Pelodiscus sinensis: one gene and its partners. The protein of the gene in region 4 interacts with the protein of the main gene of each other region in a pairwise test. Links are inferred from orthologs where the notes say so. Each region holds a gene or a part of one and is shown on either strand. Other genes may lie near its edges. The genes, in order: KLHL42, LITAF, ARRDC3 and STAM2.

Region 1 (8,332 bases), on a different chromosome or scaffold from region 4:
CCCACGCCGCTTCCAGCTGATCTGGAAGCGCCACGGTTCGGCCCAGGTCCTCCGCAGCTTTGCTCCACGTCTCCCTGGACTGCTGGGGGAGGGGGGGGGGAGATGCAGCTAGTGCCCCCCCAGCAGACCAGGGAGACGTGGAGCAAAGCCGGGGGCCTGTGGTAGAGCAGGTGGGGCACTGCTGGTTGGTCCCGCAGCACCGCTCCTTGGCGCTACTGGACCAACCAGGCAGCACCCCAGCTGCTCTGCCCCAGGCGTCCTGATTCAGCTGCTGATCAGTTTCAGCAGTGGCTGAATCAGGATGCCTGGGGCAGAGCAGCTGGGGTGCTGCTGGGTTGGTCCAGTAGCTCCGAGGAGCGGCCGTGCTACTGGACCAAGCCAGCAGCACCCGAGCTGCTCTGCCCCAGGCGTCCCAAAGTCAGCCGCTGCTGAAACTGACCAGCGGCTGACTACAGGAAGCCCGAGGCAGAGTTGCTCTGCCCTCGGCTTCCTGGAATCAGCTGCTGATCAGTTTCAGCAGCAGCTGACTTGCGGACGCCTGGGGTTCTTACCTTGAATCTGTATGTAAGTGGAACTGGTGTCCAGATTCAGCGGCTGTTGAAACTGATCAGTTTCAGCAGTGGCTGATGCCAGTTCCGACTTACATACAGATTCAACTTAAGAACAAACCTACAGTCCCTATCTTGTACGTAACCCGGGGACTGCCTGTACTTCTATCAATGATCCTATGGAGCATGCATCATCTAGAAACATGTACAAACTAAGATGTTTGCCTTTTTTCTGATCTTCATTATCTTTTTCTTTATGAAAAAATCAATAAACACTAATTGCAAAAATACAGAGTTGTATGGGCCACTTCCACTGACAATTATAATACAGTTATGATCAACTTCATCAGCTTTTAAAACAATATAAGAAGCAAAAAGAAAGGAAGGCACCAGTTTCAAGGCAAACATTTTTGTTGGGTATACTCGATGGTAAATTCTCTTGGGCAGGGACTAGGGATGTGACTAATTACTCCCCCTTCCTCTCCCCCAGGGGAGGAGCAGGAGCCAAGACTGAGGGGAATTGGCTTAAAAGCTGGTTTCCCCCAGCACCATCTCTGAGGGGGCAGAGAAGGTACAGACACAGAGGAAACAGTGTGAGCAGGGTCTGAAGCAGTCTCCACTCGTACCAGTTCTGCTGTGATTCTGCTTTTAAAATGTACAAGAGCTCCATGTGGTCGTGCATATTTCAAAGACTCAGGCGCCGCAGGGAGCACAGGGCCAGTCCCCCACTGGCCTCACGCTCCCTACGGGGCTTCTGCTTTTGAACTGTAGCAAATACCTGGCAGAGCTCTTGCTACAGTTCAAAGGCGGAAGTGCCCTTATAGACTAAAATCGAATAGTGGATGGAAATCCCATTGACTATATGATTAATTAATTAATTAATTAATCTAAATGTAACATCCCTAGCAGGAACTGTGGTTTTATAGCAGGTGTGTGCAGAGCCTACCACAAAGTTTAAATGCCACAATACAAATAAGAACCTGTTTGGTCAATCTTGACTCTGATGTTCTGTACTCCTTACATGCATGGATCCATTGATGCCAACAGGACTCCTATATGTGGAAGACCAGATTATTGAGCCAAAAGACCCCATGCACTGACTAGGAAGAGAATTTTACCTTCATTATTTTACCATGAAATTCTTTTTTAAATAAAGACAGATATTTGGAGACTACAGAGAAAACTAGACCCTAAAGGCCCGATTGATCACTAATGATCTAAATGGGTTACCTGGTAAGCATCCCCCCCTAGACATACATACATGCATTCTTTTTTCCCTCTCTCTCTCTCCCCTCCTCCTTCCCCACTTCCATCCCTGAGCAAGCGTGGGGCCGGAAACAGATGGGTTGAAGCAGCCCCTGCCCACAGGGCAGAGAGTCCCCACCCTACTTTAATTTAATCAGTTAAGTGATTAAACTTAATGTTTAACCGGTTAATTAAACAGGATTTTACATTCCTATTAATCATCTCTTCGAGTACTGTCATTAACATCAGCAAACCGGGAGAAAAAGGGACAGTCAAATGCTGCTTACACTGATAGTGTTGACTTCACAAAATGCAGGTAGGTGGTGAATCAGGCCCTGCACTTCTGGGTCTAGTCTATACCTACCCAACTCAAAATGCTATATCTTGGTAATGCACCATGTGGGGGTTTACCTCTTTTGGTTCATTGAAGCCATCTGACACCATTCATTTATACAGGGGTTATAACAGTGGGCAGCCGATATCTCTTGGCTGGTGATCCTGTAGCCCCCGACGACAAACAGGTAGTTGTCCATCATTGCCGACCCATAGCCTCGGACATTCACTAGATCCAGGGGCATGTTGCTGGCCAGGGGCAGCCACCTCTGAGCCACCTCATCATACCTCAGCATGGAGCAAGGGGTTTCCTCCTGCAGGTGGCGGCATGGGGCCAGGCCCAGGGAGGAGGCACCCATGAAGTCTCCAATAGCCAGGAGGGTGGCAGTGCCCTTCATTCGCCTCTCCCTCAGCTGCTGCCTGAGGGCACTGGGCAGGAGGAGGTGGGGACGGGCCTCCGGCCGCCGCAGAACCTCATGATAATGGGCAGCCATGAAGCCCAGGCAGGCATCCTGCAGGTCCTGAAGGCCATAGACCTGGGCCAGGCGGTGCAGCTCCAGGCAGTTGCCCAGCCTCACCTGGGAGAGGAGCAGGCGCAGCAGGGGGGTGACCTGCAGGTAGGAGGCGGCCTCGACCAGCTCTTCCAGCAGAGGGGGCTCCTGCTCCCCGCCCTCCTCCTGCTCCAGCCGGGCCAGGCAGGAGGTGTTGATGAAGTCCAGCACCAGCTCCAGCCCCTGGGCGCTGAGCCCCCCGCGCAGCTGCTGCTCCTCCTGCCCCTGCCCCGCCTCCCGCATGCCCGAGCGGAACAGGGCGCGGAAATAGTCGCTCTGCTCGATCAGCTTCCTCTTGCTCACCGGGTAGCACCTGTCCCCCAGCCGGATCCTCACCACCTCCTCCTCCTCCGCGCCAGCCGCTGCCTCCCCCGCCTCCGCCTGGGACATGGCCCCGGGCTCCTGCCTGCCCCGCCGGCTGGCGGGAGGAGCGGGGCGGGGGGTGGCTCCCGTGGCGGCGGGCTCAGCCCCTCTCCCGGCTGCGTCCCGCGGCGGCGCGCAGGCCTAAAAAGGCAATGCTGGAGCCGGGGCGCTGCAGCAGGCCGGGGCCCCAGCGTCTCCAGGCCCCAGCTCCCGGCCGGGGAGGAGCCCGGGGAGGGCCTGGAAACGTCGCTCTCTGCTCCGTGCGCCTGGCGGGAGCACCGCCCCCCTCGTCCTAGCGAGCACCGGGGGCCGAGCTCAGCCCCGAGCTGCCTTCCCTGGCGGTCCCGCGACAGGTCCCTCCCGGGTGGGAGTCGCTCAGCAGCACCGCGCAGAGCCCAGAGACCTTTAGACCTTCTGACAATGGGGAAAGAATTTCGGCTTTATTTTTCTGTCTCTTATACCTCACTAGCAGATTTACCCAGCATTGGATGGGTCCTTAACTCATTCATCAAAAGAAAATGAAAATGTACATGCTTCCTTTAAAAATAAATAAAAAACGAGTGGCCCTGTATAAGCTTAGAGACTTACAAAAACATTATATAGCAGAGGTTCCCAAACTTTTTCAGACTGGGGACCAGTAAATCCATTCACAAGCTTTTGGAGGACCAGTAATGTTTATTTGCATATTCATTAAGCAGATGATGAATATGCAAATAAATTGTTTCTGGTCCTCCCAAAGACCCCATTGCCAACTTTAGCCCACAGAAAGTCAGTCCAGGCCACACAAGTGAGATACAAAAACATAACCCCTCAAACCTCACTAATGTGATCCCAACTGTGTTTGTGGGTGCTAGGACAGAGCTCTGGGGAAGGGTGCCAATGAGTGCTGGGCCAGGGGAGAGGATGCTTGCGGGTGCTGGGGCAAGGGACAGAGCACTTGTGGGTACTGGGGCAGGGTATTGTATGGGTCCGGGTGGGGGGGGAGGGGACAGGACCAGGACCGATACCTGGCGATCTTATAGCTGCCAAGGCCTAGGAAGTGCGCGGGCTGCTCCCCCGTCCTCCAAACGGTGGCACGGTACCTGACACGCTGGTCTGTTGCATGCCTGATGCCTTCCTGCACAGCGGGGTCCTGGACCGTGCCAGCCCCAACCGCTTGGGCAGTGCACACCTAGCTCCTCTGCTCTCCATGGCAGCATGCGCCGCCCGAGCAGCTGGAGCCAGCATAGTCCCGGATCTCCACCCACTCCCCTGCGCACGGGAAGGCAGCAGGGGAACAAAGTCCCCACCATGCGCTGGACCGGCATTTTAGGTACTGTACCGGCTGTTGGGGCAGGGGGAGAGCAGCCCACACGCTTCCGGAACCTGGTACGCAGCTGCAGAACTGCCGCCCTATCCCGCAGGAAGCCTGTGCTACCTCCATTGACACTGGGAGTTCAGTGCAGAGTTCATCTTGTGGATTGCAGGCCGTGAGGCGGGCTCTCGCAAACATTTTTCTGAGGCCTGGTATTTTTTTCCTAAGGACCAGTACTGGGCCGTGGACCACAGTTTAGGAAACGCTGTTATACAGTGTCATGAGCTTTTGTAGGCACAACCCACTTCTTCAGATGAGCAGAGCAAGAGCCACAGAGAAGTACAGAAATCCAAAATTTTAAGCTGAAAAAGAGAGGACAGAGGGATAAAAAGGAGGGAGGTGGGGGTAGGCAGAAACCCTGTCAACTATAGTGTCCATGCTAAATGTGTCTAATAGAGTGGGCTGTGTCTGATCCTTAGCTTTTGATGTCATTTGGGTGTTGAATATAACAGCCCATCTAGCTAATATCTTTGTTCTGTCCTTGTGTGAAGGTGTCAGCTTTGCATATGAAGACCAGTTCCACAGTTTCTCTCTCTAGCTCAGGGGTGGGCAAAAGGGCCTCCGTAGGCCAGATCCGGCCCACCAAGCTGTAGCAATTAGGGCCTGGGGGCAGGGGAAGCGCACCAAGTTTCCTCTGTCCTGCCAGGAGTATGTAGCACTTTGAAGTGCCTTGCTTGGGGGCGGGGGAGAACATGAAGATTCTTCCGCTCTATCCCCACCCTGCGAGGAGCACACAGCACTTTCAAGTGCTTCCTGCTCCTCGCATGGCGTGGGTAGGCCGAAGGAAACTTTGTGCACTTCTCCTGCCCCCCAACCAATCAGGGTTTGGGGGCAGGGGAATGCGTGAAGTCTCCTCCCACCCTGCCAGGAGCACAGGGCACTTCAAAGTGCTATATGCTCCTGGCATAGGGGAGGAAACTTCATGCACTTCCCCTGCCCCCAGGCTCTAATTGGCCTGGAGGTGGGGAGTGTGCAAAGCCTCTTCCTGTCCTGCCAGGGGCATGGGTGCTTAGTGGGAAGGGGGGGGCAAAGAGGCTCCCCCACCCCCGACCAATCATGATCTGTGGGTGGGGAAGCCCGGAAGCATCCTGGCCCCACCCTTTCTGTTATAGGCCCCACCCCAGCCAAAAATTATTGCCCACCCCTGTCTTAAAGGAATAACAAACGTAATATAACTGGTCTGTCTGGAGAAGGGCTAGACAGAGCAGGACAGACATATCCAGGGATGGTCTGGCACTGAGTGTGTGGAGACTCTGTACACTATAATCAAGGCTGGGGACAGCCACGGTAGGACTGGCAGACTGCAGTTACAATAACACACCTGGGAGTGGCTAGCATATTGTTGTCCAGTTAGGAGTAGTCTGATTATTTCTTTTGTTGTTTCCGTGGTGGTTGTACTCCTTGTGATAGAAAATAAAAAGTATTGAAAAACTAAGCCAAGAAGCAAAAGGAGTTTACAATTTAGACCCAGATCCTGTAAACACTTAAGCACATGCTTAGCCTCTTGCATGGAAATACATTTAATTTATTTTAATGTGATTAGTCACAAGCATGCAACACGGTGTATTTGCAAAGTAGACAGTGAGTTTAAGGGATGGTACTTGGTCCTGCTGTAAGGGCAAGTGAGTGGACTCGATGACCTCTCAAGGTCCCTTCCAGTTCTATGAGATGGTATATCTCCATATATATATTAATGCAAATACAATCACATGTGAGGAGTATGGAGTGACATACATTGAAAATGAAAAAGACCTATCAGCTTGTGTAGTTTGTCCTGTACCCAGAAGGTGGGGAATGGGAATCAGCATAGCACAGCATACAAATATCTCATCAAAGTGTGATAGCTCTATGACAGATTGTACCCCCATGTTCATACCTTGCACACCTTGGTAACAATCTGTGTGATGTAAACTAACAATTTGCCGGTCATTGTTGTCATGGTAAAATGCATGTGGGAACATTGTATGTAAAGTTGTTTTATTCAAGAGTACGTTGTTACTAACAATGTTCCAGGTCTAAGGAATGGTCAAACAAATGCCTCAGAGATAAAGGGTAAGTTGACACCTCAGCCAGGTATAAACAAGGCCAATGGATATTATATGCTCTCTGCACAGACTGCCAGTCACAATGCTTCCACCTGGAAATGCATCTCAAAGGTAGGTAAGAGGACTATAAAAAGGAAGGGGAAACAACTCCTTCTCCTGTCTCTCCCTCTCCCTTTGTTGAATACTGCACCAGAAAGAACAAATGATGCAACCATGGACCTAGAGAAAGGGTCCTGGCCTAAACAGTTTGACTGCTCAGAACATCTTGTTCGAAAAACTTAACTTGGAATTTAGCTTTCTTTACTTGCCTTTTATCTTTTTCTAGTAACCATTTTTGACTTTCATGTCTCATTACAGACAGTTTGAGTGCAAGTAATTCATAAACTTGTTTTATTGTTTTAGCTCATCGAGTGTGTTTGAAGAATCTGGGAAACTCTATTTGGGGTAACAAAATAGGTGCAGGTTGCCTACACAGACGGGAGTGAATTACATGCTGGAGACTGCAGGCATGCCATGACTGGAGGCTGGAGCAGTAAAGCAGTGTAAATTGCATCCCAAGTTAGAAAGCAGGAGTGACACAGATACTCGGTAGTGTAAATTATGCCCTGTGTATGTCACAATCTCCCAGGCTACAAAAGATACCTTGGGGTATTTTGGCATTACCCAAGGCTGGATTGCAGGGTGCTGGATTGCACCATGAGATTTGGGATGTTCACAGAAATATGTAGAGGTAGTAACTAGGGATGTTAAATTAAGTGTAATTAGCTAATTGAGTAGTCAATGGAATTTCCATCAACTACTCAATTAATTGATAAGGGGAGAAACTGCAGCACTGCAGCAGGGGACCAGGTGCAAGCTGGGAATCAACTGTCCCACCACTGCACCTCTGCTTTTTAAATGCATTAAAAGCCTGGTGTTTCTTAATACATTTAAAAAGGAGATGCACAGCATCTGGGACTGGGCACAAGCTGGGAGTCAGCTGATTCCAAGCTTGCACCCGATCCCAGCTATGCCTCTGCCTCCCCAGATGGTGCTGGGGAAATCGGCATTTAAGCCACACACACACACACACACACACACACACCCCAGCACAGGCTCCTGCTCCCCCCTTGCTGCCTCTCTTTGATAGAGGCAGCAAGGTGGGGTGGAGTGACTAGTCAAGTCACTACTTAACTACCTGATAAGCATCTTATTGGGTAGTCGACCAGTCACTTACATCCCTAGTAGCAACCCTTCTTGACATGCTGGAGGCATAGCTGTATTAAGAATGGATAGCCATTTATTAGCTACATATTTACTATTTTTCCACTTTGCACCTTCCAAGAACTTTACTAGACCATGGTATTGTAATAGAAGTAAAGGCATGCCCTTATTTTTCCTCCCCATCAGTAGCATTTAAGCATTTTCAGGTTATCTGCAGAATATCTGCAATTTGTATACCTTTTTCTGATAGATCGTTGTAGTGAAGCCTGAATCAGGGACTTCCAGAGCTAAAAGCCTCAGTCTCTACAGCTTAAGCTAAAGAGGCAGGCTATATAGCTGAGAATTGTAACATATTGACATCCTCTGTAGATTGGGTATAGGGGTGGACATGTAATATACACTGTGATGAGTGGGTCACATCCTTTCTCTGGGAGCCCAAAGAGAACAAACAAAGGAAGTTTGTCCCAAGTATCTTAGGCTTATGCTGGTTTGAATCCCAGACAAGTCCTCACTCAATTCCAGGTCAGCTATCATTTGGGCTAATAGCTGGAACTGAACTAAGTCTCTCCAGAGTGGGAAGTGTAAGATTTGGGGGCTGTACCACACTCACAGCCTCTTTGGCTATGTCTACACTGCAAGATTTTTGTGCAAAAACAGCGGTTTTTATGCAAAAACCCGTGGCGTGTCCAC
Region 2 (8,140 bases), on a different chromosome or scaffold from region 4:
AGTTTTTCCTTTTGTTTTAACTAGGCCTTCTGGAAAGGCCAAGGTTTAAGAACAGCTTGAACAAAAAAAAAAAAATTATATTCTGACAGGACTTGTGGTCTTGGCTGCAGATCATTTGAGATTTTTGTAAGCTACTAATTTTAATAGTCAGCCAGACCACCCACAAAACCTAGCTAGAGACAGACCTAGGTGGCATCCTACCTGCCAAGAGTCCACAAAACTTTGGGATTTGCCAGGAGAATAAATATTTTTAATAATTGCTTAGGTGCTGAAGCTATGACATTTGTTTCTCATTGGGCATGACTACATATGGATTCTCAGAAAAGCAAAAATTAACTAAAGGTCTGAATTTAAAGCACATTATTGACTCCTATGTGGCTACTCTCATTCAGAAAAGTCATCGTACACCACACCACGCTTCTAAATGAAAGTTTACACTCAGGAACTTATGCTTTTGTGTCAACTTTCCTGCTTTACCTTGTGTACACTGTGGTGTTCCAGTACCAGTTTTAAGGATTGCCTGCACAAGGAATAGTGATAGAAATGTAGCCGTGTTAGTCTGGGGTAGTTGAAGCAAAATGCAGGACAATGTAGCACTTTAAAGACTAACAAGATGGTTTATTAGATGATGAGCTTTCGTGGGCCAGACCCACTTCCTCAGATCAAATAGTGGAAGAAAGTAGTCACAACCATATATACCAAAGGATACAATTTAAAAAAATGAACAAATATGAAAAGGACAAATCACGCTCACTACTGGTCTATCCAGCTATGTAGACACTCTTCTCAAACCCTTCGTAACCAATACCCCCAGCTATCTCCGAGACACTACTGACTTCCTAAGGAAACTACAAAACATCGATAACCTCCCCAATAATACCATCCTTACCACCATGGATGTAGAAGCTCTATATACCAACATCCCACATGAAGACGGTTTACAAGCAATTAGAAACACTATCCCAGAGGACACTACTGCCAACCTGATAGCAGACCTATGTAACTTTGTTCTCACCCACAATTATTTCCGGTTTGAGAACAACTTATACCTCCAGATCAGCGGCACAGCCATGGGTACACGCATGGCCCCACAGTATGCTAACATCTTTATGGCTGACCTAGAACAACGTTTCCTCAACTCCCGTCCCCTTTCACCCCTCCTCTACCTACGGTACATCGATGACATCTTTATGATCTGGACACATGGCCAAGAAACACTGGAGATATTCCACAGAGATTTCAACAACCTACACCCCACCATCAACCTCAGCCTGGACCATTCTACACGAGAGATCCACTTCCTGGACACCACCGTACAAATCAACAATGGAAAATTAGACACCACTCTCTACAGAAAACCCACTGACTCATACAGTTACCTACATGCATCCAGCTCCCATCCAGAACACACCACACGATCCATCGTCTATAGCCAAGCCCTTCGATACAACCGCATCTGCTCTAACCCCACTGACAGAGACCAGAAGCTTCAGGATCTCTACCAAGCATTTATAAATCTCAACTACCCACCCAGAGAAACAAAAAAGCAAATTGAAAGAGCCAGACGAATACCTAGAAACCATCTACTTCAAGACAGACCCAAGAAAACCAACAATAGAACACCACTTGTCATCACCGACAACCCCCAACTTAAACCTGTCCAACACATTATCAATAAACTACAGCCTATATTGGAACAGGATACCATACTCAAAGAGGCTCTGGGAGACAGACCCATAGTCTCCTATAGACAACCACCTAACCTCAAGATGATTCTTACCAACCACCACAGGACATACCACACTAATACCAACCCTGGTACCTTCCCTTGCAACAAACCCCGTTGCCAGCTTTGTCCACATATTCATTCTGCTGATACCATTATTGGACCTAACCAAGTGAGTTATAAGATCAAGAACACATATTCCTGCGCATCCAGAAATATAATCTACGCTATCATGTGCCGAAAGTGTCCGTCTGCTATGTACATTGGACAAACATCTCAGACACTTCGCCAAAGGATTAATGCCCACAAAACAGATATCAGACAAGATCACAAAGAGAAAACAGTTTCTTGCCACTTTAACCAGAAAGGACACTCTCTAAATGACTTAGCCACCTGCATTCTGCTACAAAGATCTTTTACATCTGCACTTGAAAGGGAATCCTCTGAACTGTCATTCATGTTAAAATTCGACACTTACCAACAAGGACTTAACAAGTCTTTGAACTTTCTCACCCATTACCAAGACAGTTTCCCCAATTATCACCTGTAATACCATTAACTCACAAACATCCCACTCTCCCTACCTTTAATATCATCAATTCACAGACACTTACCTTCCTTCCTCCCCCTTCCCACCCCCCCGCATCCCCCTTCTGTTCTGCAATGTGATTTGTCCTTTTCATATTTGTTCATTTTTTTAAATTGTATCCTTTGGTATATATGGTTGTGACTACTTTCTTCCACTATTTGATCTGAGGAAGTGGGTCTGGCCCACGAAAGCTCATCATCTAATAAACCATCTTGTTAGTCTTTAAAGTGCTACATTGTCCTGCATTTTGCTTCAACTACCCCAGACTAACACGGCTACATTTCTATCACTACTCCATAGGAATAGTTACTCTCAGAGCAGACAAGCCTCCAGAGAAGCCCATTTCAGTGTCACTTGTTGACATTAAACGTTTTCAAACTAAACCTTAACAAGTTGTGAACTGATTTAGTAGCTCAGCATTAAAACAATTAGCCCAAACCAGAGGATTCCAGCTCCAGCGCAAACAAACAGGAAGATGAGGAAAAGCGGCCGAGTCACTCCCAAGGTGACAGGAACGGCACCTCGCGCCCGCGGGGAGGGGATTGCTGCACATACTGAAATGCTGGTTTCGCTTAAGAGTCCCTCCGAAGAGCGGACAAACCCCAGGCAGCTCGCTCCAGCCTGCGCCTGGAAGGCACCGAGAGGAAAGTCCGCCCGACCCGCCTGTGCGAGCGGGCAGCACGAAGGGTCCGAGGGGCTGGGCTGGGGGCCGCGTCCCGGCCCACTTACCGCTCCCGTATCTGAGTCGCCGGGCCGCGCTGTTCACCCCGATTCTCCGGAGCCGCCACCCCGCGGCTGGTAACGTGGCCAGGGGGCCTGGGCGTGTCACGCGGGGCCGCTCCGGAGGGGAAGCCTCTGGCCGGCCCCCCCACGTGGCACCACGGGGCGCCGTGTCCCGGGGTCTCCGCGGGCCCGCGCTGGGGGGCGGGGCAAGCGGCGCCGGACTCCCCCCTCTGCGCGAGACCCCAGGAGCGCCCCTGCCCGGCGCGCGGATCCGAGGGGGGCAGCGCCGCGCTGCTCTTACCTCCCGCTGCCCGGGCTGAGCTGGGCTCACTGCGCTCCCGGCCCGAGTTTCTGGCGACTGGCGTGGCGGAGACAAAGCTGCACCCGGACAGGCCGCTCCTCGCCCCCGCCCCTCTTTCCGACCTGGCGCTCGCCTCCCCCGCCTCGCAGCTGGGACGGGGGCGGGCTCCGGCAGATAATGAGCGGCCCCGCCCAGCGATGGACCCTGCCCTGCCCCTTGGCAGCCCGGTCGGGGGCTCCCCCTGCAGTTGGGAACGAGCGCCCCAGCCACGTGGAACCCTGCTCTGTCTCCCCCGCCACCACGCGTGGGCTCGGGACTCGCCTAGAAACTTGCCCATGGCCTGGACCCGTCCAGCCTTTAGCTTAAGGCTGTTCTTGCTGTGGTCACTTGTTCGGTACAGAACACGAGAACAGTGTTCCAGAGCCAGCCTTCCAGTGGGCAACCCGAAACCAAGCCACAAGAGCACTGAGGCAAGGGTTTAGAAATGTAAAAGTTGAACTTCTGGAGAGTAAAAGTTCAGGTGTCTGATAGTGATACACAAGTGGTTGTTCAGAAGGGTATGTTCAGTTACCAAAGAATTTACTTGATCTGGAAAAAACCTGCCAAGTTCCAGCTCAACACTATCTGGAAGACCTTGGAGTTCATTGCAAATCAGCTTTTTCCTAAGCTAAAAAGTCAAAACAACAAGATTTACAAATTACTGTATCAGCAAAAGTAACTATCAGATTTTATGTGCAAAACACAAAGTAACTTGAACAAGAGGAAAATTCCTTTTCCAAATTCTGTAATGTATTTCTTTTTATGTTAATAGGTACAACTATGCAGCAAAATAATTCCCATCAGCAAACAAATGTAGGTAATCACTAAGTATCATTCCTCTAAAGACTCCAATTATTTTTTGCCAAAAGAAATATTTTGATGCCTGAATGAAACAGCCTGGCACTGTTTTCTGACTTGTTTCCATGTCCCCTTCTGTGAGGCACCTCAAGATGAAAGTGAGCCAACAAAGGGAGATTTCCCTGTCCTTTGGCACAGGCAAGGAGATCACATTCCACAGTCAAATTAAAAACTTACATTCATAGCATAATGGATGTGGCTAGAGAGAAATAGGAAGATGGTTTCAGTGTTCCTGTCTACAAAAAGAAACCCATTAAACAAGATAAACCTCTAAAAAGCAAGCTGACTTCTAAATGCTTCAGGGGGTAGCAGAGTTAGTCTGTTACAGAAAAAACAACAACAATGGACTGGTAGCACTTTATAAACTAACAAAACAAGTAGATGGTATCATGAGCTTTCATGGGCACAGCCCACTTCTTCAGATGACCGGAGTTATGAGTGTAGGATGCGCACACCCAAAATAAATAAGAGATGGGAAGGAGAGGGGAGAGGGAAAAAAAGAAGGGGGGGTGAAAGACAGGAAGCTAGAAGGAATCAGTAAGTATCTGAAAATTGGGTAGTTAAAGCAAATAAGAATCAAAGTCAATAGATAGTATCCTTCCTGAAAAGTAGTAGAGCTGTTTGCACCTTCAACGGCTGTTAAGTTGCTAGTGCCCCATTGAATTTGCCAATGTATTTTAATTGCAATGCTTCTCTATGGATCTGGCTAGTAGCACTGATTTGTGACAAAGACAGCTACTTGAAGATCTTTTAAACAGTGATTTGGAAGATTGAAGTGTTCCCCAATAGGTTTCTGTATGTTTCCTTTACGTATATCTGATTTGTGTCCATTGATGCTTTCCCGCAAAGACTGTCCAGTTTGTCCAATATATATAGCAGTGGGGCATTGATGGCATTTGATGGCATAGATCAAATTACTGGATGTGTAGTCAAATGACCTTTTAATTTGGTAGCTTATGTTGTTGGTTCCAGTGATGAATTTGCCAGTATAGATATGTGGGCAGAGTTGGCATCATTTTTGGTTGCAGAGCTGGGTTCCTGGAGGCTTATGATATGGTTGTATGGCATGGTTACCAGAAAGAATTCGTTTCAGGTTGGGGGGTTCTCTGTAAGCAAGAATAGGCTTTTCTCCTAAGGCTTCTGAGAGTGAGGGATCATTTTCTAAGATGCGTTGCAGATTGTGTATAATGCGCTGGAGGGGTCTGAGTTGTGGACTATAGGTAATAAGAAGAGTTCTATTATTTTCTCTTTTGAGTCCGTCTTGAAGTAGCTCATGTCTGGGTACTTTTTTGGCTCTGTCAATTTGTTTTTTCACTTCTCCAGGTGGGTATTTCAGTTTTAGGAATGCTCTGTAAAGATCCTTTAGGTGATTGTAGGGTTGGAGAAAATCTGGTTGTATCTTAGGGCTTGGCTGTATACTGTAGACTGAGAAATGTGTCTGGGATAGAAGCTGGAGGCATGAAGGTAAGTGTAGCAGTCAGTGGGTTTCCGATATAGAGTGGTGGAAATTTGTCCATTATTTAACTGTACTGTAGTGTCCAGGAAGTGGATTTCTTGTGTGGACTGGTCCAGGCTGAGGTTGATGGTGGGGTGGAAGTTTGTTGAAATCCTTGTGGAATTCTTCAAGAGTCTCTTTTCCGTGGGTCCATATGATGAAGATGTCATCGTTGGAGCATAAGTAAAGTAGGGGTGTTCGGGGGCGAGAGCTGAGGAAACATTGTTCAAGGTCAGCCATAAAGATGTTGGCATACTGTGGTGCCAAGCGAGTGCCCATGGCTGTGCCACTGACTTGGAGATAGAAATTGTCTCCGAATTGGAAGTAGTTGTAGGTGAGGACAAAGTTACAGAGCTCTGGAATCAAGTGTGCAGTGTTGTTATTGGCCTCTTTGATTATGATGTTAGGATTGGTTTTGAGGCTGTGAATAGCATTGCGCTGTGCATGACTGAGATATGTTTTATGTTATTTGCTGATAATGTCAGCTTGAATGCATTTGCGGAAGCAGTACATGTAGAAATCAAGACTTTCGTTACGTCCATTGGTGGGTGTCCACATAGAAGCCATTTGTTGACTTCTAAATGTAACTAACCAAACTCAAGCTCATCTGATGGAGTGTGTTTTGCCCATGAAAGCTCATGACACTCTACATGTTTTTGCTAAGTGCCACGGGACTACTCATTGTAACTAAACTCAGTCTTTGTAGCCTCTCTACAGATACATCAGTGCCTGTTTTTGGCTAATTCTGCAACTCATAGTTTACTTCCTCTTTTTTCAAAAGCTTTAGTGGGGTAGCTGAGTTATTCTGTAACTGGAAACACTTAAAAATCAACAAATTGTCTAGCGCAGTGTTTCCCAATTTTATTTGGTCACGGAACCTTTTTAAACTCAAAATAATTTTGCTGGACCCCTAATAACAACTGGTTTGACAGCTGAAGCTTGGACTTTGTTGGACATGGTGCTAGTATATTCATATTTAGTCACCCATGTGATCCACACTCCCTGAGAATGAGTACGGGAATTTATAGTGGTATATAACAGGCGATAGCATCAGTGACTGACTGCACACGCAGCGCTGAGTAGTGATATCATCGTCACCACTCTCTGGCTAAGCTGGCATTACACAGGGACACTTACTGTGGCAAACACAAAGGAAAATTGTTTTCAATAAAATTCAGAAATGCTTAAATATATTTTTTAAAATCATAAAATGTTATTGTAATGGAATTTTCTCGCTGAACCCCAATTTTCACTACTTGGGAAACACTGGTCTAGCAGCACCTTTTGTTAGCCTTTAAGGTGCTGCTACACCAGTGGTCACCAACCAGTAGATCTTGGAGCCTCTGACAGGTGACCCTGACTGGTTTGACCAGGAAGCTACCAAGTGCTGCCACTTCAGGTGTCTCTCTACTTACTGTCATGCTGCTCCTGCACTCTGCCTGGAGCTGCCCCTTGGGAGCCTCCTGCTTGCTGTGCAGGGTACAGGAGGGATAAAAGGGGGGCACTGATGTCAGGGTGTCCCTCCTCCCCCCACTCCTGTATCCCATCTCCACACAGAGAGAAGGAGACGGAGGGAGCTTGGCAATGCAAATCTCTGTCACTCACACACTGTGTGTGTCTCTGTCACTCTCACAAACACACACTGTCTTTCCCTTTCTCCTGACCCAGCACATACATGGGGGGTTGTTACTACTTTTACAGCTTGCAAAGTGGGTTAGTTTTAGTTTTTGACTGGTCTGTGCATTGCATAACTTTCATTTCTCTCTTATGCCTAAATTTAATTCTTGGAGTAGTGTGTTCTAAAACGCTGAACCTGTCATGTCTGGAGTGATTATCCCTGTGGTAATTGTGCTCCTGGAAGTGACTGGCATGTCCCTGCCGCCCCTGAGAGAGTCAGAGCAGGGGGTCTCTCAAGCTGTCCTTGCCTGTGGACTCCGCTCCTGCAGCTCCCATTGATCAGTAATGGAGAACTGTGGCCAATAGAGGCTGTGGGGTTGGGGAAGCACTTGGAGCTGTGGAGCCATTGCTGTACATGCCAGCTGCTCTAAGGAGTGGGGCAGGGCTAGGGCCGAAATAACTCCAATGCTGCTCCCAGAGGTAGGGGATGGCCTCAGGCCCCCAACCCTTCCCTCTCAAGGCAAATGCTTTATCCCCTAGGCCACTGCAGAACCCAGCCCACCTCCCTACCTTCAGCAGGTCCCTTATCCTGTCTTCCTAATACAAGAGACAGCTCCATCCCTTGGGCAGCCTGTGTTGTGTGTCTGGTAACTCCCAGGGTGTGTGGACAGGATGTGTGTGTGTGAAAGAAACTTGGACCTCCAACTCTGTGCTCCCCAGGCAAATGCCCTATCCCCTAGGCCACTCCAGAATCCACCCCACCTCCCTATCTTCAGGGTGTCCCCTCCCACA
Region 3 (7,497 bases), on a different chromosome or scaffold from region 4:
ATAATAGCCAAAGGCTCCACAATGACATTTGCCAACTCCCTCAGTACCCTCGGATGCACTAAGTCCGGACCCATGGATTTATGTACGTTTAGCTTTTCTAAATAGTTCCTAACCTGTTCTTTACCCACCACGGGCTGTCCATCTTCATCCCATCTTGCATCACTTGGCACAGAAGTCCAGGAGCCGACCTTGTCCGTGAATACAGAGGCAAAGAAAGCATTGAGTACTTCAGCTTTCCCCACATCATCTGTCACTAGGTTACCTCCTTCATCCATTAGGGGCCACACACCCTCTCTGATCACCTTCTTCTTGTTAACATGCCTGTAGAAACCTTTCTTGTTCTCCTTCACATCCTTAGCCAGTCGCAATTTCATTTGCGCTTTCGCCTTCCTGATAAGCCCCCAGCATTCTCGAGCTATATCTTTAAACTCCTCCCTGGTCATTTGTCCAAGTTTCCACTCTTTGTAAGCTTCCTTTTTGTGCTTAAGTTCACCAAGGATTTCCCCTGTAAGCTAGTCTGGTCTCCTACCAGGTTTGCCTCTCTTGCTACGCGTCGGGATGGTTTCTTTCTGTGCCTTCAATAAGGCTTCTTTAAAATACTACCAGCTGTCCTGGACTCCTTTCCCTTCATGTTAACATCCCAGGGGATTCTGCCCATCAGATCTCGGAGGGAGTCAAAATCTGCTTTTTTGAAGTCCAAGGTATGTATTTTACTACTCTCTTTTCTTCCTTTGGTCAGGATCCTGAAATCTACCATCTCATGATCACTGCTTCCCAGGTTGTCACCCACCTCCACTTCCCCTATTAGTTCCTCCCCGTTTGTGAGCAGAAGGTCAAGCTGCGCACGGCCCCTGGTCGGATCCTTCAGCACTTGTGTCAAGAAGTTCTCCCCAACATTCTCCAAAAACTTCCTGGATTGCCTGTGTACTGCCGTATAGGTTTCCCAGCAGATGTCAGGGTGATTAAAGTCTCCCAAGAGAACCAGGGCCTGCGATCTAGAAGCTTCGCTCAGTTGTCCAAAGAAAGCCTCATCTACCTCATCCACCTGATTCGGTGGCCTGTAGCAAACACCAACCACAACATCAATGCTGTTGTTTGCTCCTTTAAACTTTGCTTCTCTTCTACCTGGAGAGCTCCCTCTCTAAAGCCTCACTCAAACAGGCGGGGGGGAGAAAACCCACCACCACCACACACCAAACAAACACAAGCTCAGCACACAGTAAGAAAGCCCCAATAACAAAACACACTTCCCTGAAGAGTCCTGTATCTGCTTCTCCTTCACCTGGAGAACTCCCTCTCAAAACTCCCTGTTAGCACTCACCTGTTCGCAAGCTCCTTGGTCACTTGCCCACTGCCTTATAAAGTCCCTCTCCCTACCAAGGCTCAGCCAATCAGCAGAGGCTTCTAGAATTCAAACTTTAATTAGAAGCCAACAGTTTCCGCCAGCCAATCACAGCCAATCACAGCACAAACTCCATCAAGGGGAGGGGAGGTGGGAAAAAAAAGCCTCACTCTCAAACACAGGGGGAAATAAATAAATAAACAAAAAACAAAAAAGAACACACACCAACCCTCACTCACAAACACAAGCTCAGCACACAGCAAGAAAGCCCCAAACACAACACCCACTTCCCTCAAGACTCCTGTATCTGCTTCTCCTCTACCTGGAGAACTCCCTCTCTAAAGCCTCACTCAAACAGGGGGAAAAAAACCACACCACCACACACCAAACAAACACAAGCTCAGCACACAGTAAGAAAGCCCCAATAACAAAACACACTTCCCTCAAGAGTCCTGTATCTGCTTCTCCTTCACCTGGAGAACTCCCTCTCAAAACTCCCTGTTAGCACTCACCTGTTCTTTCCCCACTTCTTTCCCATACTGTGTTGCCTAGTACAGTAGTCTGGGAGGTGACCTTTTCTGTGAAAACAGATGCAAAAAATCATTGAGTACTTCAGCTTTTCTCTCAAACCTGACCTGCTCTCAAACCCCAGAGGATCTGCAAGAGGCTAGTGCCTTGAGGCTCAGCTACATGGACTACTCTAGGTCATGGTTGCCCCCAATATCTCAGGAAAGATATAACAAAAGAAAACACGGACCGGCTACGTCTAGACTGGCATGATTTTCCGGAAATGCTTTTAACGGAAACGTTTTCTGTTAAAAGCATTATCAGAACAGAGCGTCTAGATTGGCATGGACGCTTTTCCGCAAAAGCACTTTTTTCCTTCCGCCATTTTCGCAATCGGGGCTTTTTTGCGCAAAACAAATCTCAGCTGTCTACACTGGCCCTTTTGAGCAAAAGTTTTGCGCAAAAGGGACTTTTGCCCCAATGGGAGCAACATAGTATTTCTGCAGAAAGCACCGATTTCTTACAGTAGGAAGTCAGTGCTTTTGCGGAAATTCAAACGGCCATTGTAGACAGCTGGCAAGTTTTTCCGGAAAAGCGGCTGATTTTCCAGAAAAACTGGCCAGTCTAGACACAGCCACCAAGTTTATTAACTTTTCTGCTGGATTTTTGTAGGAGGGTGCATAGAGGTAAGCGTATATATGGGCCAAACAGTCCTACAGCAGACTAGAGACTTATTGATGGGATTCTGAAAACTAACAGAGGAGAACAGTGATAGAAATGTAGCCGTGTTAGTCTGGGGTAGCTGAAGCAGAGGAGAACAGACCCACTGAAGCAGACGATCATCTCACTCCACAGGGGAAGGAAGATCTGTACCTGGAAAGGAGCCTTTGCACACATATTTGTGAGTAGGGGAACAAAACCACAGTGTCAAAAAGAAATGAAGTACCATTGCAAAGTGCCTGTGAAAATTTCCCCTATTTGCCACAAGATGGTGCAGAAACATAAAATGTATTAAGACACTAGAAGACTAAAAAGCAAAAGAATTTCCACCAGGTGTCTGCCAAAGGAAAATTTGAAAAACTTCCTTAAGAAAATAATATATTGGCACAATACTACAAAGCAAAACTGTTTCTCTGAACTTTATTTTAGATACAGAATTTACACAACCATAACTGTCAACACAAATTAATCTGTTTAATATTAACCAATTAAATTATATATCATAATGAATTGCTTATTTCAATAAACAAGGAACTTGGAAAAGAAATGTAGCATTTAATTTAATCTAGACAATTTGGTTAAGCAATGACAATATTCTCTTGTTGTCAGTATTTAACCTTTTTGTTCTTTTATCTATATACAAAGTTGCACCAATTCTCACAGAATGTTTATTTTACAAAATTCTCTCTGTAATATACTTAGCCAAACCTTTTTGAAGGGTTTTAAACTCTGCTGTATTTCTACAGGTGGCACAGCATACAGAAGTGGAAATAATCTGAACCAAAAAAATGCAGCTGGTGTCTGTAATTGGCCTAATTGTATATAGGAGGGAAGCACTGAGGCTAAAGATCCCCCTTCCCTCTTTTTCCTGTTAAATATCAACTTTAAAAATACAGGAGAGGTAAGAGAAATTTCCAATGGAACAGGTTGAAATTTTGTGGGGTGCCTCTCTTGGTTTCCAGGACCAGATTGAAAGGAATGGGAGGGATGGAAGAGAGATTTCACTGAAGCTGGTGGATTTCATCCCATTTTCTGCCAAGATGGTTTTTTATTTCCAGCTGAAATGCTTTGAAGAGCAAAATATTTTGCTTTCTGGAATGCACCAGATATAGTCATTGAACAAGCTCCTCTTTGGGATGAAAGATGTCCCAGATCCCTCGATATGTGCCTTATTTCCCTCTAACCTCTCTCACTCCCATTCCAGCACAGTACTTCCCAGAAGCAAACACTTTGGGAGGTTTGGGCTTGTGGCTGTGTTCTCTATCAGCTGTTTGAAGCATTAGCTCTCAGTCCCCCATTTCTCTCTATTCCTACGCTATAATATAATGCTCTATGCCTGGTATTAGAGGCTATTTGGTACAAATCTGCATCCCGTTTAAAGAGTTTAGGGTAGCGGACACACTACGGGAGACAGAATGGAGTAGACGCTAGCTTCTGTTCCACAGCAGGCTCGTCTTCTCTGCTACACCTATAAGGAAGAGAAGCAGCAGCAGCCCGCTCATGCGCACTCCGCTTGTTTTTCACAAAGCTAGTCTTAAGTGAGCTGGCTGGCTGCAACCAGCCCGTCTTTGTACAGAGACCACAGAGCTGGGTAGTAGCTACGAACAGCATCTAGTGCTGTTACTTTTTAGCAATCCCAATGAAGTGTTTGTAGAGAATACACTGATCCTGCCGGCAAGCTTCTTGCACGGCAGAGGCATTGATCAGTGTAAAGTGAAGATCGCATTTTATGAGATCTTGACTTTTGTTGTTTTTTTCTTACAATATATTTTTATAGACTTTGTTATAAAACATGGTGCTGGGGAAGGTGAAGAGTTTGACAATAAGCTTTGACTGTCTCAATGACAGCAATGTCCCCGTCTATTCTAGTGGGGACACAGTCTCAGGAAGGGTCAATTTAGAAGTTACTGGGGAAATAAGAGTAAAATCTCTTAAAATTCATGCAAGAGGACATGCAAAAGTACGCTGGACAGAATCTAGAAATGCTGGATCCAACACTGCCTATACACAGAATTACACTGAAGAAGTAGAATATTTCAACCATAAAGACATCTTAATTGGGCACGAAAGAGGTAAGTCATTGTATTACTCTAGTCGAAATTATATACAGTCATTTTGGATGCAAGTAGGTACGGCTTTGTATTTGATTGTATGTACATTTACTGTTAAAATTGTACTGAGATGCAGCTGTAAAGTGCATACAAACAAGACTTTTCCCAACTACCTGCTCTTAAACAGAGCCTCTTTCATGCGCACTTTCAATACATGAGGGTTTCATTTTTAATGTAAACATACTTTTGTCCTATGGATTTGCTAGACATTAGAAGATTTTTTTGCTTCCCTTGAGATATTAAGAAAAAACAGAGTCAGAAATCAGATGTGTAAATAATTTTTTTTTGTAATCTCGTCATAAGTACTGAGATGAATTAATGCATAGACTTCTGCTTTTGACATTTATGGAAACAATTCCAATTTTCAAATAATATATCTGATAACCCTTCAGTGATGGGTAATTGTTGGCAGATAAAGGATTCCATGTGGTTTATTTTGACATATGCAGTCAGCACTCCACGTGTGGTTTTTTTCTTTCCTTGGCTTTAAACAAAGTTAGTAAAAGAACAGATTTTTTTTAATACACTGTATGTCAGTGAGACAGCTGTAAAGAAGTCTGTCTGAAAGGCCACTTAGAGTCCATTATTATATAATTAGACCATCATTTCTAAGTTAAGGACTTCTGGAATCTGCATTCAATGAAGCCTCTTGTGCCAGCCCCAATGGAAATGAAAAGTACTGTAGAAAAGGATCTGATTTAGGTTAGGAAAAAGCCATTTTAAAGAGAGGAGTGGGTCTTCTGATTATTCATCTATTGTTTGAAAGGTTGCATAGTGGAAGTATAGGAGACTAAGCTTGTTTTTCTGAAGTTTCCACCCTTTGTTAGAAGCGGTTCAATCCTGTTTGGGACCAGTACTAGGGAGTGGGAGGGGGGTGCGCATTCTCTCCTCTCCGCAGATTGGTTTACACACGTCAGGTGATAGCGATGACTTAATGCTTAGCACAAGAAAATGTTAGAAGTGTTTATGTAATTTTCGGCTCTTTTTACATCTGTATGCAGTATATTTGCTGCAGAGATGTGTGTATTTCCCCCTTGCCTAAAAAAGAAATATCAATAAAGAAGTTACAGTGTTCGTTACACTGACTCTAAATCGAGTATTTTACATAGGCATGGGAAGGATTTCAGTTATGTTAGAAGCAGGTAAATGTAATTGGTAGAGGCATTGAACTAAAAGGCTCTTTATTTTCTTACCGTGCAAACATTTCGTCTATGCAAAGTGCATTTGCCTTATACCCTATTTTCTATCCCAGAACCCACCCACACCCAGCATAGGCGCAAAAATGCATGCATCGTTCCGCGTGTAGGGTCACAAATATGTCCAGAGCTTTCTAATGGCAGTTTTAAAAGCAGGAATGACTTTGTATGTATGAGTATGTATCTCAAGCGTCTCTCCACCAGTATCACTCACATACCTCTGTTTGAATGGAAAGCAGGAGACGAAAGCTGGTAGGGAAGGTGGAGTAGATCTGAAGCTTGCAAATGAGAAGCACTTGTAGATAAAGCGCAGTGTGTGTTGCGTAAACCGTGATTTGTGCTTTCACTTATACTGTGAGCTTGGAGCAGCTCAGCCAGCCGCTCCATCTGCAGCACAGGCAGGCGCTGCTGCTAACAGTGGGCTGTTGCTGAATGGAAAAAAGGGAGTTTCAATGACTTAGCTCGGGCACTTCTCAGCCTAGCCTGGTAACAAGAGACCACGCCCAGTGCTCTCAGTCATTGGTCTAGTGGGGTTTGTTAGCCTGTTGCTAAGGCGATGCCAAACGCTAATTGGAGGGAGGGAAGCTGGGTGGAGCGGGAGGAAGAAGAGTCGTTTCGCCACCCGGGTTGCAACGTGCGACGCAGAGGGGGTGCCACCGGCAGCCACTTATTGCTGCTCGGGGCGGGAAATTATCCTCCCGGGGTCCCGCTCGCACGGCTTGGGCCCGATCCTGGGAGCGGGCCCTCCCCCCGCACTCTCACTCGTCCCGCGAACCGGCGGAGGGTGGCAAATGCCCCTCGGCGCAGAGGCCGGGCGGGTCTCGCTGCCGGCTGTTAGGTGCGGGCGGGCGAGCGGCTCTGTCCTGGCTACACTGCTCCGCGGGGACGCCCCGGGGTTGGGGCTGCCTGAGGGTCCCCAGGGAGGCGAAGAGAGTCCTCCCCGCCGCCCCCTGCCCGCGCTTTGCCATGGCGAGCCCACCCCGGGGCCGGGTGGTGTTAGCCCAGCGGCACGGGGCGCCCCGGCAGTAAGGAGCCGGGCGGCGCGCGAGCACCACTGCCCGGCCGCGTGCGAGGCGGAAGCCCAGGCAGGGGGCGGCTCCCCCGGCCTGTCAGGTTGGGTTGCGCGCGAGGGAGGTGCTGAGCGAGGGCGCTCGTGTGATGTTCACTGCCTGTACGCGAGCGGCTGGCTGGCTGGGGAGCTGCTCGCGCCGGTTTAGGCCGGTCCTCTCCTGCTCCAGTCTGGTCTGTGATTGACAGCTCAGCACTTGTTTACCACAGTTTCGCTGCTGCTGCGGAGACTCAATGGGAGTGCTGAGCTGGCAGAAAGGAGGAGAAGGAGAGAAACTTCGGTGCCAGGAAATGATTCAAATCTAGAAAAGGATAAAGACTGAAATGCCCTTGTGAAAATCCAGGATGCAGTTTCAGTGACACCGCATGCTGGAGATGGGCATAAATCTCCCCGAGTAGGTTTAGATGATCTAATCCTGTAGATATTATGCCTTTTATATCACTTTTTAAATTTTTTTGGTTAAATGGAAGTCGAGTGCAGCACACATTTTGGGAAGCAGGGATGGGAAGGATAAGAACAAATATCTAAAAAAGTCTTCTATTTTTCTGCCCC
Region 4 (7,922 bases):
TAGTAAATGTAAGGCTAAGAGAAAGGAGTTCCATTTTGCCTGAACGGAGTTACAGTTCTAGAAATCAGCATAATGTTCTTACTTAAAATCCCAATAAGAAAGCAATATTGCCATCTGCAGGTCACTTCTAACTATTAAAACAGTTTTAACACAATAGTTTATTTTCTGAACAACTTCCTGAATAAACTTAAAAAACAACAAATAGTCTGGTAGCACTTTATAGACTAACAAAACATGTAGATGGTATAATGAGCTTTTGTGGGCATAGGCCACTTCTTCAGATGACCCGAGTTTTGAGTTTAGGATGTCCAGACCCAAAATAAACAGGGGAGAAGGGAAAGGGGGAAAGGAAAAAAATGGAAGGAGGTGGGAAAAAAGAAGCAGACGGTATGTAAATATAAAAGGGAAAACCAAAAAAGCAAACCTGGTAATCTATAAGCACCTAAAAATTGGATAGTTTAAAGAAGCAGATAAGGATCACAGTATAGCACTTAGAGAGTAAGAGTACTAGCACAAGAATCTACACAGATAAAGAGCTGTTGGTACAGCTCGTTATCCTGTACAGACTAACTCGGCTACCCCCTGAAGATACTGAATAAAGTACAATCACTGAAGTTGGCTGGCTATTGTAAGTCACTCTGTCCTCCTTTTACATAAACCAAAAAAGAAACTATATATCAATAAAGGTGTCACAGGACGATTTGATGCATATGTGGTACACTTTGACACATATCACATGATTTTACACCCTTCACATTTATGTTTTCTGTCATATGCAATATTCAAATATATATTCACTTTGTCCTCTTGAGAAACACTAAATGAATTTTGATATTTTGTTTAACTATGAAATTAATTACAAAAGAATTAATAATTTACTCATCACAATTGATCCTGTAATTCTACCATATATACAGAAATACTTAGGAAAAAATAGTGGCTCATGAAAATTTCATATTAGTTAGATGAACAATAATCAGTCATCCCTGAAAACATTAAGAATCTTGTTCTGAAAATACAGGAAATTTTCACCATTCGTGGTAGATGTGTTCCTGGCACTACCACAAATGGCAAAATTTGCAAATAATAAAAGTGGCCATGGCTTCCAGCCCAAGTGGTGAGTTCCCTGTGGGGCTCTGGAACTCAGTGTGCAGACTAGTATCAGAGGGGTAGCCGTGTTAGTCTGAATCTGCAAAAGCGACGAGGAGTCCTATGGCACCTTATAGACTAACTGAAGTGTAGGAGCATAAGCTTTCGTGGGCAAAGACCCACTTCGTCACATCTGACGAAGTGGGTCTTTGCCCACGAAAGCTTATGCTCCTACACTTCAGTTAGTCTATAAGGTGCCACAGGACTCCTCGTCGAGTGTGCAGACTGTGAGCTGTGGGAAACCCACTGCATGTGCTGGGAGCTGCGTTGAGATCAGGAACTGCGGTGAACTCACCATGGCGTCTGGGAACTAGAGAGCTCCCTGCGTCTCTGGGTCAGATCAGAGGTCCATCTAGTTCAGTAACCTGTCTTCCGACAGTGGCCAATGCAAGGAGCATTGAATGAATAGAACAGGTAATCATCAAGTGATCCGACCCCTGTCACCCATACCCAACGGCTACATCTAGACTGACATGATTTTCTGCAAATACTTTGAACGGAAAAGTTTTCCTTTCAAAGCATTTGCAGAAAAGAGTGTCTAGTTTGGCATGGACGCTTTTCCGCAAAAGCACTTTTTGCGGAAAAGTGTCCGTGCCAATCTAGACACGCTTTTATGCAAAAAATGCCCCGATCACCATTTTCGCGATCGGGGCTTTTTTGTGCACAACAAATCTGAGCTGTCTATACTGGCCCTTTGGCGCAAAAGCTTTGCGCAAAAGGACTTTTGCCCAAACGGGAGCAGCATAATATTTCTGCAAGAAGCACTGATTTCAGACAGTAGGAAGTCCGTGTTCTTGCAGAAATTCAAACGGCCAGTGTAGACAGCTGGCAAGTTTTTCCGCAAAAGCAGTTGCTTTTGCGGAAAATTTTGCCAGTCTAGACACAGCCAACTTCTGAGAGGCTAGGGACACAATTCCTACCCATACTGGCTAACAATCTTAGATGGACCTATCCTCCATGAATATATCTAGCTCTTTTCTGAACCCTGTTAAAGTTCTGGTTTTCACAACGTCCTCTGGCAAGGACATCCATAGGTTAATTGTGTGTTGTGTGAAGAAATACTTCCTTTTGTTTGTTTTAAGCCTGCTACTTATTAATTTCATTTGGTAAGCCCTAGTAAATAAGTTTTCCTTATTTACTTTTTCTATACCAGTCATGATTTTATAGACCTCTATTATATCCCCCCCTTAGTCTCCTCTTTACTAACCTAAAAAAAGTCCCAGTTTTATTAATCTTTATCCTATGGCAGACATTCTAAACCCCTAATCATTGTTGTTGCCCTTTTCTGAACTTTTTCCAATGCCAAGATATCTTTTTTAGATGAGGTGACCACATCTGCATGCAGTATTCAAGATATTGTCATACTATGGATTTATATAGAGGCAATAAGATATTGTCTTATTTTCTATCCCCTGGTGAATCACTGGATAAAGATTGCTTGAGTACAGGCCAATAACTTGCTTACAGCCATCTAACCCATACTTTTCGTGTTGTTAATAATCATTTGTTAACGCTTATAAACTATTTATAAATATACATCATATAGTGTGCCACAAAGAAAAAGGTGCAAAGAAAACAATTATAACCAAGAGCTTACAAATGCACCAAATAATAAAGAAGCTGACAATTCTGTGTCTTAAGTTCTCTCCAGTGATTATCTCAAATGCTACAAGTAACCAGTGTACAGGCAGTTCCCGCACTTACGAACGGGGCTTTCTCGCCCCGGAGCTCGCAGGCAGTGGGACCGCCCAGAGCGCAGCGGTCCCGCCACCTTGACCTCCGGGGCAAGAAAAGCTGCTCCGGGTGCCCCTGGTCTGCTGGGGACCGCCGCCGCTGCCGCTTTGCTCCTGGTGCCTCTGGTCTGCTGGGGACCGTCTCCAGCAGACCAGGGACACCCGGAGCAAAGCCGCAGCGGCGGCGGGGTCCCACGCCTCTGAAGCTTTGCCAAAGCAAAGCCTCAGAGGTGCGGCACCCTGCTGCCGCTGCGGCTTTGCTCCCCGTGTCCCTGGTCTGCTGGGGGGGGGGGGGCGCAGCTAGTGCACCTCCCCCCCCCCCAGCAGACCAGGCTTTTGTTGTGGACTCTGCTGGGTTGGTCCTGCAGGGACCTACCTGGCAGCCCAGCTGTTCTGTCCCAGGCTCGAGATTCAGCCGCTGTTGAAACTGATCAGTGGCTGATTCCAGGAAGCTGGGGGCAGAGCAATTCTTCCTCCAGCTTCCTGTAGTCAGCCCCTGGTCAGTTTCAGCAGCAGCGGCTGAATATGGAGCCAGTTCCGACTTACATACAAATTTAACTTAAGAACAAACCTATAGTCCCTATCTTGTACGTAACCCGGGGACTGGCTGTACTGAACTGACACAGAAGGGTGAGGGCAGGGCAGTCTTGGGTGGCATGGCAGGGTGGCAGTGGAATTGGAGTGTTTAGGTAACTTAAACATTTTTCACTGTGGCCTGAGAATGCCAGGGACTCTTGTTTGTGCAAGCCAACAGAGGAACAGGGGATCATACTACCTCCTCACTTTGCACCCCACCTTTTGCCCCAGAGAAATCCCATCTCCCCTTGCCACCAGCTTAGAGGCCCGTCACCAGTCAGAGCCCCCAGCAGGTACTAGGGATGTAAAAGAGTAGTTGAATAGTGGACTAGCTGATAAGCTTTATCTGGTAGTTGAGTCAACTACTCACATTCCCAGCCTGATGCCTCTAATCAGAGGCCACAAGGTCAGGGGCGGGAGGAAGCAGGGGAACGCTAAGGGGAACTCGCTTAAAGAGATTCTCCCCAGCACTGTCTCCTAGTGTAGTGGGATGGCAGGGCAGGCAGTGGCTCTACCTTTCCAATGTACGAAGACCTGCCTGGCTGGCTCCAAGTCCAGACCCGCTGTGGCGCTGCCTTTTAAACCGGTAACAAGCGTCTGGCTCTTGCTCCGTTTAAAAGGCAGCACCGCAGCGGCCTGGACCCGGCAGGAGGCGGTGCTGGGTCCCATGCTGCGCCTCCGCCTTTTAAATCAGTACCACAGGCAGAGCCGCAGCGGGGTTTCCAGCTTGCGCCCCCGCCGGGAGCTAACCCAGCTGCAGGGTAGTAGGGGCTGGGCAGCAGGCGGGTTGGCTACGTGTAACCTGCAGCGCCACAGTGGGGGCAGCGCGTGCCCCCCCCATCGATTAATGGACTAGTCCATGGACGTTCCACTGAGTACTCGGTTGCCGGCCATTAGCACCCCTAGCAGGGACCTTCGCTCTGTCGTTCTCTGGGACCCGAGACTGCACAAGAGCAGCCCGACCCCGCCCCCCCCCTCCCGACAGCTTCTCTGCCTGCACCCCCCCTCCCCCCGGCTCGTTGCTAGGCGGGAACTCTCCCTCCACAGCGCTTGGCAGGCCCCGCCTCCGGCGGCCCGAGCGCGCGGTGCCTCTCTCAGTGCCTGACGTCGCCGTGTCATTTCTTGCGGGGCCAGACCCGGGCGGAGGCCGCTGCCCTATGGCGGTGGCGCTCTCTGCGGCAGAGGCTTTGGGTCGCTTGGCCGCGGCTCGCCCTTTTGGTGCAGGCGCGGCGCGGGCGCCTGTTGCGAGCGGGGGGGCCTGCGTGGCGGCGGGCGGAGCAGGAAGCGGCCACGGGCGGGGGAGGGGCCACGTCTGAGAGCTGCGACTCACCTGAGAGGGGAGCAGGGCCTGGCTCGCCGCGGGGAGGCCGCCGAGATGCCGCTGTTCGCCCCCAACCCCTTCGAGCAGGACGTGGGTGAGCGAGCGGGAGTCCGGCCGCGGCGGGGAGCGGGGCCTGTCCGAGTGCCCCTGGGCGGCGGGCGGGGGTGTGTCGGGGGCGCCGGCCGGCCCCGGGGGAGCGCTGGGGCGCTGCGGGGGGGAGGCTGGGGACCGTGTTCCTGCCGGGCATGGGGTGGGTGCGTCGGGGGTGACCGGGCGCTGCACAGCTGAGGGCTGAGCCCTGTGGCGTAGTTGGGTGCGGAGGCTGGTGACGGATTAGAAACGCAGCAGGGACACGGTCCCCGGAAACTGCCCTGAGCACCCCCCCCCCCCCAAACGTACCGGGCACCTGCAGGCACAAGAGGAGACACGAAACGCGTGTTGCTTCCAGCGACTCTTGCTTGTGCGTAGCTTGGCCGGCTTCCCGGAGGGGCTCTCTTGGCTGCCAACTTCTCTTGTCAAGGGGTGGATTTCAGGGAATTCCCGTGTTTAACGTCTCCGACCGTGTCACCGGGAGCTGGGATTTCAGTCCTGACAGCGGTTCTTGCACATCTACAACTTTTCTTGAAACAAAACCATTTTATAACACGTTTATACAACACAACTGGAATGTACATTGCAATGTTGCTAGTATGTAAATGCTGACCAATAACAAGGCCCCTGCCCCACGTACTAGTTAGCTTATTTTTTCCTTCGTAGTATGTAAAGACCAGCATTATAATAAATTACGGTAAGGGTCTGATTCATGGACAGTGATAATTTTTGAAATTTAATCATTTGGAAACTGAGAGATGATATGAATGCTTAGGAAGTTGGGAAATCAGTGGTACGGTATTCCATACTACCTAGTTGGTGTCGGTCCAGAGTTAAATTTCTGAAATTCAGAAATTTGATAGTGTTAAACCAAGCTGTAGCATTTATGAAAAAAATACTTTTTTTTCTGATATGGATCAGTAAACAACTGGAGTAGATGCAAGCCTAGATGGCTTGTGATAATCATTGAATGAAAATTGTATATACTACTTTCTTTTTGGCTGCAAGTCTCAAAATGTTGTGTTATATTAATTTAGGAAGTAGGGATGTTAAATTTCTATTAAATAACTAATCAACTAGTTGATGGGATTTCCATTGATTATTCCATTAGTCAATAAGGACTAGCACTTTCTGCCTTTCAAAGATTGAAATGACGTGTGGAGCCTGGGATGAGTGGGGGACTACCTGCTGGCCCCGGGCTCCACGCGGTGTTTCAGTCTTTGCAGTTCACAAGAGCTCTCTCTGGGGCTCTTGTACATTTCAAAGAGGTGGTGCCACATGGAGCCTGGGGCTAGCAAAGGACTCTGAGCTCCCTAGGCTCCCTGCAGTGTTTCCGCATTGAAATGTACAAGAGCTCCAGTGAGAACTCTTGTACATTTCAAAGGCTCCATGCAGGCTTCCTCTTTGAAATGTACAAGAACCCGGGGTGGGGCTCTTGTGCATTTCAAAGTTGGAACACAGCTGCTGCACTCCTGCCCCCTCCTACAGAGCTGGAGCTGGTGGGAACTGGTTCTTTGTGATAGAGGCAGCAAAGGGGGGGAAGTGACTAGTGTGTCGACTGTCCAATAAGCTTTTGCTTATCGGGTAGTCAATTAGTCGCTTACATCCTTAGTAGGAAGATGCCTAATGCACAGGCAACAGTTTAGGAAAAGATACCATGGCAAAAGTGTAATTAGGACATTTTGTTGCTTCAAAAATCTTAATGCCCTTTTAGACTTTCACAGATAATATGTAAAAGTGACGCTGCATGTATGTAGTATCACTTTTTTTTTTTTCCATAGTACTTTTTCTCCAAGGATAAATGTAATTTGACTTCGTAAAAGCTTTTAGGTAACTGGCATGGACTTTTGTAGCCCCTGGACGGAGGTTGACCACTGGTGGTAGGCCTCAGTTGTACTTGCTGGGGAAATCATAGTGAGGTGCTACAAGCTTTTAAACCCCTAGTCCAGTATTTCTCACAGTGAGCTGTGGGCCTGCTTTGGTAAAGCCTCTAGCTTCCTGCACTGCTTTGTTTATCTAAGGATCAGAAGCCACAGAACCTCATGGATCCCATTGGCTCCGGTTTGCCTTGGGGATGTAAACTACTGGTCGAGTAGTCAAGTCACTACTCCACTAGTTCCTTCCCTTCTCTCACAGAGGCAGTGGGAGGTGGTAGAGCAGGAATTGGTACTGGGGGGAGCTATCTTAAAACTGCTACTTAACATCCCTAGTTTGCCCTTGGCTGGAAACAGTGAACCAGAGCCAATGGGGGAGCAGTGAGGCTCTCTGGCTACAGACCCATAGATAAAGCTGCAAGGCCCGCTGTCCACTTTGAGAAGCACTGCCCTAGACTTAAGTGTTCTTGCTGTCATTTGGGGCTGTGAGTCTGTAACCTTAAGTGGGAGCCCTTGAAGAAGATCAAGTTGATATGAAAGCAGCTATGTACGCAAGTTTGAATGGCATTAAGTGGCACATTTATTTGGCTTTTCCATCTCCAGAGATCTCGGATGAAATCACTATTGAAGAATATTGGTCAGATTTTCACCCTGGTTTCAATGTCTCACAGTAAAATGTCTGGTGGAAGTGAATTTGATGACATTTACCCATGTTACAAAGTGGTCATGTAGTTCTATTTAGAAAGAGCCACTGAGGGCGTGTCCAGCTAGGGATAAAAAGCCTACAGCTGGTCAGCATCAGCTGACTCTGGATCACAGGGCTTATGTTTCCGGGCTGAAAAATTGCTGTGCAGAGGTTTGAACTTGTACTGGAGCCTGAGCTCTAGGACTTTGCAAATGGAGTATGGTGTCCCAGTGCTCGGGCTCCAGCCTGATCCCAAATATTTACACAGCAATTTTTAGCCAGTTTTTGAGCCTGGGCTAGGTAATACGGTCCACCGCTGACTTATTGAACATTAAATTTTTAGCGTAGACTAATCAGAGGTAAATGTAATGGCAGGGGGGAAACAATTCAAAAGCTTACCAGTTTGGTATAAAAACCCATTAAAACTTAAATTTGTTTTATGGGGACATTTTAAATAGCATTCAACATTCATGTTTTTTCGGTAAATTCTGAAA

What was found.
Region 1: the proteins of STAM2 (region 4) and KLHL42 interact in binary tests that used the Homo sapiens proteins (3 or more experiments, as listed by UniProt). The two-hybrid records come from large-scale screens. The link is inferred for Pelodiscus sinensis from reciprocal best matches to the Homo sapiens genes STAM2 and KLHL42.
Region 2: the proteins of STAM2 (region 4) and LITAF interact in a two-hybrid assay, tested with the Homo sapiens proteins (4 studies listed by BioGRID and IntAct). The two-hybrid records come from large-scale screens. The link is inferred for Pelodiscus sinensis from reciprocal best matches to the Homo sapiens genes STAM2 and LITAF.
Region 3: the proteins of STAM2 (region 4) and ARRDC3 interact in binary tests that used the Homo sapiens proteins (3 or more experiments, as listed by UniProt). The two-hybrid records come from large-scale screens. The link is inferred for Pelodiscus sinensis from reciprocal best matches to the Homo sapiens genes STAM2 and ARRDC3.

Annotation. Positions count from the first base shown.
Region 1 is NC_134711.1:129,725,459-129,733,790, reverse strand, and holds the start of KLHL42 (kelch-like protein 42), read right to left. Parts: upstream 3,211-8,332; 5' UTR 3,068-3,210; coding exon 2,205-3,067; intron 1-2,204. UniProt on the Homo sapiens protein: Substrate-specific adapter of a BCR (BTB-CUL3-RBX1) E3 ubiquitin-protein ligase complex required for mitotic progression and cytokinesis. The BCR(KLHL42) E3 ubiquitin ligase complex mediates the ubiquitination and subsequent degradation of KATNA1.
Region 2 is NC_134726.1:14,505,480-14,513,619, forward strand, and holds the start of LITAF (lipopolysaccharide-induced tumor necrosis factor-alpha factor), read right to left. Parts: upstream 3,526-8,140; 5' UTR 3,340-3,525; intron 3,177-3,339; exon of another isoform or gene 3,045-3,176; intron 1-3,044.
Region 3 is NC_134716.1:74,019,071-74,026,567, forward strand, and holds the start of ARRDC3 (arrestin domain-containing protein 3), read left to right. Parts: upstream 1-4,120; 5' UTR 4,121-4,361; coding exon 4,362-4,641; intron 4,642-6,094; exon of another isoform or gene 6,095-6,475; intron 6,476-6,502; exon of another isoform or gene 6,503-7,339; intron 7,340-7,497. UniProt on the Homo sapiens protein: Adapter protein that plays a role in regulating cell-surface expression of adrenergic receptors and probably also other G protein-coupled receptors.
Region 4 is NC_134717.1:28,406,682-28,414,603, reverse strand, and holds the start of STAM2 (signal transducing adapter molecule 2), read left to right. Parts: upstream 1-4,632; 5' UTR 4,633-4,833; coding exon 4,834-4,873; intron 4,874-7,922.